Notamacropus eugenii: one gene and its partner. Each later gene encodes a partner of the first gene's protein in a complex. Links are inferred from orthologs where the notes say so. Each region holds a gene or a part of one and is shown on either strand. Other genes may lie near its edges.

Evidence for each region. The genes of interacting proteins can lie anywhere in the genome.
Region 2: METTL3 (region 1) and WTAP share a complex: the UniProt entries of both Homo sapiens proteins name them as parts of the WMM complex. The link is inferred for Notamacropus eugenii from reciprocal best matches to the Homo sapiens genes METTL3 and WTAP.

The regions. Positions count from the first base shown.
Region 1 is NC_092878.1:12,408,911-12,412,660, forward strand, and holds the start of METTL3 (N(6)-adenosine-methyltransferase catalytic subunit METTL3), read left to right. Parts: upstream 1-1,476; 5' UTR 1,477-1,630; coding exon 1,631-1,730; intron 1,731-3,750. UniProt on the Homo sapiens protein: The METTL3-METTL14 heterodimer forms a N6-methyltransferase complex that methylates adenosine residues at the N(6) position of some RNAs and regulates various processes such as the circadian clock, differentiation of embryonic and hematopoietic stem cells, cortical neurogenesis, response to DNA damage, differentiation of T-cells and primary miRNA processing.
Region 2 is NC_092873.1:253,466,472-253,470,221, forward strand, and holds the start of WTAP (pre-mRNA-splicing regulator WTAP), read left to right. Parts: upstream 1-886; 5' UTR 887-1,016; intron 1,017-1,188; exon of another isoform or gene 1,189-1,421; intron 1,422-1,812; exon of another isoform or gene 1,813-2,031; intron 2,032-3,750. UniProt on the Homo sapiens protein: Associated component of the WMM complex, a complex that mediates N6-methyladenosine (m6A) methylation of RNAs, a modification that plays a role in the efficiency of mRNA splicing and RNA processing.

The DNA of each region.
Region 1 (3,750 bases):
AAACACATGTAAATAAAACACACGTGTATAAACGTGCGGATAAACACATGTAAATAAAACACACGTGTATAAACGTGCGGATAAACACATGTAAATAAAACACACGTGTATAAACGTGCAGATAAACACACGTAAATAAAACACACGTGTATAAATGTGCGGATAAACACACGTAAATAAAACACACGTGTATAAACGTGCAGATAAACACACAAATAAAACACACGTGTATAAACGTGCGGATAAACACACGTAAATAAAACACACGTGTATAAACGTGCGGATAAACACATGTAAATAAAACACACGTGTATAAACGTGCGGATAAACACATGTAAATAAAACACACGTGTATAAACGTGCGGATAAACACATGTAAATAAAACACACGTGTATAAACGTGCAGATAAACACACGTAAATAAAACACACGTGTATAAATGTGCGGATAAACACACGTAAATAAAACACACGTGTATAAACGTGCAGATAAACACACAAATAAAACACGCGTGTATAAACGTGCGGATAAACACACGTAAATAAAACACACGTGTATAAACGTGCGGATAAACACATGTAAATAAAACACACATGTATAAACGTGCGGATAAACACACGTAAATAAAACACACGTGTATAAATGTGCGGATAAACACACGTAAATAAAACACACGTGTATAAACGTGCAGATAAACACACAAATAAAACACACGTGTATAAACGTGCAGATAAACACATGTAAATAAAACACACGTGTATAAACGTGCGGATAAACACACAAATAAAACACACGTGTATAAACGTGCAGATAAACACATGTAAATAAAACACACGTGTATAAACGTGCAGATAAACACACGTAAATAAAACACACGTGTATAAACGTGCAGATAAACACATGTAAATAAAACACACGTGTATAAACGTGCGGATAAACACACATAAATAAAACACACGTGTATAAACGTGCGGATAAACACACAAATAAGACACACACTACACAGAATATACACGCGCACTGTCTCCCCAGGGGGCGGGGGCTGCTTCGGGCTTTGTCTGCAGTCCCTGGCACATGCCCCCTGACCTGCTGACCCGCTGACCCGCTGACCCACTTAAACATGGCACGGATTCACGGGGAGGATCAGAGCTCCCAAACGGACGGTGCTGTGCGCACCTCCCAGGCTATGGTGACGTTAGTGCTAACTCAGGGTCCCCGCTCCGGCCTCGGACCCTTTCACCCTCCGGACCGCCTTCCTAACGAGGTGACTAACATGGCCCCTCTTCCGCTAACGTCCAACATGGCCGCCCATGCGGCTGTATCAACATGGCCGCCCTCCTGCCAACTCCCAGCATGGTCGCTTCGGCTTCACGTTGCCAGTACCCGCCGGTGCCGCGGCATTTTACGCCGCCAAAAAGGAAAATGGAGCCTTAGACCCATGATTCCTAGCGTTCCCGCTCGGGCTTCGAGTGAGGGCGGAAGCGGAAATGGCGCCGCCCGCGGCCTCCGGGCTCTTCCTGTTTGGCCCCGGTGTCCATGTGAAGTTTCCCCGCCGCCCTCCCGCTGCGGGCGGCCCTGGCCGGGGAGGAGGCGCAGGGGCGGCCGCAGCTTCGCCGCCCCGGTCCCGAAGATGTCCGACACGTGGAGCTCCATCCAGGCCCACAAGAAGCAGCTGGACTCGCTGCGGGAGCGGCTGCAGCGGCGGCGGAAGCAGGACTCAGGCCACCTCGGTGAGGAGCGGGCGCGGGAGGGCCCGAGCCGGGGGGCAGCCTCGGGGCCGGGCCGGGCGCGTCACGTGAGCAGGTGGCCCGCGGGGGCGGGGGCGGGGGACCCGGAACGGCCCGCTGTGTGTGTGTGTGCATATATGTATATGTACATATGTGTGTATGTGTATGTGTGTGTATATATGTATACATATACGTATACACACATACATATACACACGCACACATACATATATCTACATATATAGACCCGCCTGGCGAAGCGCTGGAGCACCAGAACAGAACCAGGGCCACACGAGCTCAGGTGCTAACATCCTGCCAGACGCTTGCTACCTGGGGGCCCCAGGCAAGTCATTTGACTTCCCCATTGCCTCAGTTTCTTCATCTTAAAAATGTAGAGAACACCCCCAGGAAAGGCAGCGTGACGTAGCCGGAGTCCCCGTATACCTGGGGGTATGTAAACGGAGAGGATTCTGCAATCCTTAAAGTGCTGTACAAATGCTAGCTATTATTCTCTGGTGATATTTTTGCCCTTGCCCTCCCGTAAGTCCCCTGCAGAAGGCCTTCCTCTAAGGCTTTTAGTGCAGCCTGGATACTAATGTAGCACCAAAGCTATCTGTTTGTCCATTTTTTTAACATTTTTAATTTTTTTGTTGATAAATTTTGTTTCATTATATCATACAAATCCACACTCACAGTTTATTCCTTTGTAACGTTTGATCCTTTGTATACTGAAAACAGTATAAAATGTGACGTTTGACTGTGGACTCATAGATTTAGAGTTGGAAAGAACTCAGAGGCACAGAGACTGAGGACAAGAGATGGGAACTGCCTCGCCCAAGATCACGTACAGCTAGTAGGGAGCAGACCTAGTATCCAAACTGAGGTCCCCTGGCTCCAAATGCAATCCTCTCAATCATTTTACTGTAATCGTCCATAAAACTTCACACTAATAGTTTGCTGTTTATTAAAAGAAAGGAAGAATCAATGTTTTTGTCAGTTAGCAAGTATTTTTGAAGAACTTATTACGTGCCAGGCACCTTGCTAAGGGCTGGGGATACAAAGAAGAGGAAAAGTCCTCTGCCCCCAAGCTCAGGTTCTCTTGAGGGAGATAACATGTAAATGATTGTATGAACAAGCTGTGTACTGGATAAACTGGAGATCAGAGGAAAGCACTGGCATTAAAGGGGATTGGAAACGTTTCTCATAGAAGATGGGACTTTAGCTGGGACTTGAAGGAAGCCGGAAGCCAGAGATGTAAATGGAGAGAATTCCAGGCATGATGTAAAAATAGCTATGCATATGCTCTCTGTCCATGGGATGGATATGGGAGAGGGAGAACAAATGGATTTTTTTTTTTAAATAGAAAGTCAGCAGAATGCTACAGATGTGAAATAGTGCCTGAACTTTCAAATAAGGCCACTTAACACATTTTTAGTTTTATTCCACTTTTTCCAAGAGATTTCTCACATAGTGGGAATAATCTGTAAATGTAGGTAATTTGAAGACAGAACACATCAATGCAACTTTAAATTTGAAGGAAAAAGAAAATATAGAGTCGGAGATGGAGTGTCTTGTTGAGGAATGCCAAGGAGGGCAGTGTCACTGAATTGCATGGTCTGTGGAGGGGAGTAAAATGTAAGACTGAAAAGGTAGGGAGGGGTTAGGTTATGGAGGGTTTTAAAAGCCAAACAGAGGATTTTATATTTGATCCTGAAGGTAATAAGGAGTCACTGGAGTTTATTGAATAGATTTAAATTTAATAAGAGAGTTACAACATTATCCACTGTGTCTTGTCTTGAGTTTTGTTTCCTATTTGTTCCCATTCCCATAACGTTGTTGCAGTCGTTGTTTAAGTTCTTCTTTTGCTTTGGCTGTCTTCATTCTGCATCTTTTCATATAGGTCTATTTATCCAGCCCGAACCTTTCTCTTAAACTAAACCCTACATTACCAAGTGTCTGTTGGGCATCTCTGTGGGCATCTCAGACTCAGAATGGCCAGAAGAGAATTTATTATAAATTTTCT
Region 2 (3,750 bases), on another chromosome or scaffold:
TTACCTTTAATTGTATCCTAATGAATACTTAAAGACTAGCTTCTTTAAGGTCAGCTGAGTTTTCGGGCGGACACCTACTACGGCAATGATTTGACCAGCCCATAGTACAGAAAACTCTAACGTGCAGTCTTATTTAAAGCTCTTTTACGGTTCTATCGTGGAAAGAAAAAGGCACAACAACAAAAAACAATTGCGATTTCGCTGAGTCCAACTTGGTTGGCTCCTTCGTAATGAACTTTATTCCAGTGAATGTGGAATGAGAATACAATCACGCCCCAAAGCCCGGGGCTCCGCACCAGCCGTCAAGCGCAGCCCCTCGTTGGCGTTTCTTTCCCGGCGGTAGGAGCTGCAGCCAAGCCCGCACAAGAACAAAGGCCGGTCCGCCTTCCCCCGGGAGGCGCGGTCTTCAGGCTGCCGGGCAGCCCGAGGAGCAGCTCCTCACAACGTCACGGGCCACGACACCGGCCACACCAAGGACCAGCCAGCAGAACGCCGGCGCGCGAGCAAACCCCGCCGGCTTCCGAGAAGGCAGCCAACCCCCGAGGATCCCTCCGCCGGCGGGCGCCCTCCAGCACCAGCAGCAGCAGGGGACCCCGGGAACGTTCCTTCCGCCCGCGGGAGTAGGCGAAACCCACCCCGCCCCCCATCGCCTTTCCCAGGATGCTCCGCGGCTGAACTCCAACCTTCTCCCCTCCCTCCCACTCCGCCCGCCTCCCTCCGTGACCCCATCCCCACACGTCTGCCACCCCCCCTCCCCACCCGTCACTAGGTCGGCTGGCCGGCCTCTCCAGGCGCCTCAGCTTGGGCTCTGCGGGGCGGGGGGGGGCGGGAGCAAAGCCGCCTCCACCGCCGCCGCCCGAGCTAGCCCCTGCTGAGGCTGCTGCTGCCGCTCGCCGTCTCCTTCCCCTGCCCCCAGGCCGGGAGCGGCGTGGCGGGGGCGGGGGGCCCACCCGCGGGTACCCGCCGCGGACTCCGGCTGGACGCAAAGGCGACCTATCGGAAGCCTCGTCCTCCAGGTGAGTGAGCCAGGCCCCGACCAGACGAGACGGGAGGAGGGAAGGGGCGGGCTCGGCTCGGAGCTGGGGCGGGGCTGCGTGGGCTGGGGGCGGAGCCGTCCGACGGGAGGAGCGGGAAGACGGGGAAGGGAAGGGGGTGGGGGGGGTGACGGAGCCTCATTTCCTCTTCCAGCGCCATTTTGTAGCAGCGAGACCCGCAAATAAAGGGGAGAGTCATTCTCTGCGGCGGGAGGAGGAGGAGGAGCCGTCGCTGGGGCCGAGGGCACCCAGGCGGCTTGGGGTGGTGGGGTCGCCCGAGCCCGGCCGCCCGCCGCTCCGACCGTCTGTCTGTACGTGAGGGGGTCGGCGCCCGGGCCGGTCTATGTGACAAGCCGGCGGCGGCAGGGGCTGCCTCGGCGTGAAGAGGTAAGTGCGGGACGCGGGGCCGCCGCCGGAACAGACCTCGCCCGCCTCGGGCCCCGAAGTGACCCCGTCCCTCCCGACGCCCCCCTCGCCCTACCCCGGCCTCGCCCGGTCCGCAGGCCGCTCCCCGCGGCGGTGGAGGAGCCGGGGCCTGCGGGGCCGCCGACTCCGTTAACTGCTTCGCCTCCTTTGATGCGGGGACGCGGATGCTCCCGCCCTAGGCCATTTTACCCTGCTCGGTGTCTGCGGTGGGAAGCGGGAGAAGGGACAGCGAGCCGGGGTGCGGGCGCGGGGCCCGGAGCTCCCGCCACGTTCGGCCGAATTCTGGGTCGACTGGGCTTAAAAAGGAACTACGCCAAAAAAAGCAAAGGTTTGGGTTTGTTTATTTCCTTAGGAATCCTAAATTTAAATTTATCCTAACAAAAAAATGAGTTTTTGGGGAGCGATAATGGACTCCTCCCCCGCCCGCCCCAGTTTTCGCAAACCTAGAGCTAGAATGAGCTTTAATCCGCGGGAACAGGAAACAAAGTAGCTTTAAAGAAGTGTTGGCGTGTTTACATCCAGAAACTTGTTCGGAATCCCACGCCTCCTCCTCTGCCCGCTCGTTTTTTAGGTGAGGCCCGTTTGGTATAAATAGTTTGGGGGGAGAAAAAAGTGGGTGTAACAGGGTCTTGAATTTTTTGACACTCTTTAGTACTTGGTCTTATAAAAATCTGTTAAACTTTGGGGTAGTATTAGTTGCAAGGGGTTAATATGGGTTTTCTCCCCGAATAGCAAATATTTTAAATAATGCATTGTAGTTCGGAGTTGTTGGGAGTCCTGGGTATTACATCTTGCTCTTAAACTGAATAAAAGAAGTGTTTAAATTATCTAGCTACTATAGGGGATAAATGAAAATCATATGAACCCCACCCCCTTTAATCTCTTTTCCTCCTGTCATAAACTTCCAGCCACTCAGTTTTTTTTCTTAGTGACAAATTAAGCATTTTCTGAGTCCTGAAGTTTTTATTGGCAACATATGAAGTTTTTAGAAAAAAATGTTCTTTTGATTGTGTTTTCTGTTACTATGCCTTTAAGTGACTGCTCTAGGAAACAGTGTTTGAATTTGGTTTTAAAAGACTTCAGTTTTAGCCTGGGCTTGGCTACTTGTCATTGAGCAAGCCACTTAATTTCTCTGGGGCTTTAGTTTCTTGAAAGAATATCAAGCTAGTTCTCTAATTTTTCTTTTAGCTCTTGAGAGAATGGTTTACTCTGGTCCCATTTCAAGTAGTGAGAGAGATCTGTTCTTTCATTTTTTTCAACATATTTATTGAATGTTATATGTAATACTTTGAGGAGAGGGTGATGAAACTAGTGTCATGTACTTTTTGCAGAGTATTTTCGTCAGTTTAGTTTTACATTCAACCCATTGATCCCTATGCAGAGCAGATAACTATCCCCATTTTCTCCAGATGAAGAAACTGAAGCTTATAAGATGTTTTGGCTACTTACTGATTTTTACTGAGGGTTACATAACTGTGATAATAGTGGAACCAGAACTATAATCTGTGTTTTCTGACTCCCAAGTTAAGTATTTTTGCCACTATTCCAGAATACCTTCAATGTAGAGTCTAGTTCACAGTTGAAGTTGCTAAGTTTTTTTTATAATTGGAAGAGATGGGAAAGGTTAATCAAACTTTATTTGGAAAACTGAGGCCCATATTAAAAAAGTGAATTAGTAACTTCAATTCAGAACCCAGGCCTTCGGATGTTGCTGTAACATCAAGGTTAAAATTTAAAAATTTGTGAGAGCATATTACTTATTTTAGAGTAAGTGTACATTTATGGAATACTTTCATATTTCCATGTTTTATTGGTATGAAGGAGGTAACTGAATGAGCATTGTTCCCTCAATTTACTGATAGGGAAACTGGGGAAGTCAGGACAAATTTTTTTAAAGCACCTACGCTTGAGCACTTTGCACTTCGCAAATATTATCTAATTTTCACAACAACCTTGTGAAGCAGATGCTATTATTATCCCGATTTTAAAGTTGAAAAAACTGAGATAGACAGGTCACATCTGGTGTCTGAGCTTTGAATTCAGGTCTGCTCAACTCCAGTGCTGTGGCCACTGTGCCGCCTAGTCTCAGCTAGTTATCATAGATTCACAGTGGTATAGGTGAGCTGTAGCTCTTGGATTGAAATTCTTAGGATTGTCACTTCAGTCTCTAATATTTGAGCCATGCCTGCTCACAGCATCTTTAAATGCAACCATTTGTTAACACACTTATGTTGGGAAAATGTGTTACCACACATTTGCCTTAGGATTAAAAGATCATCCTAGTTCAGGC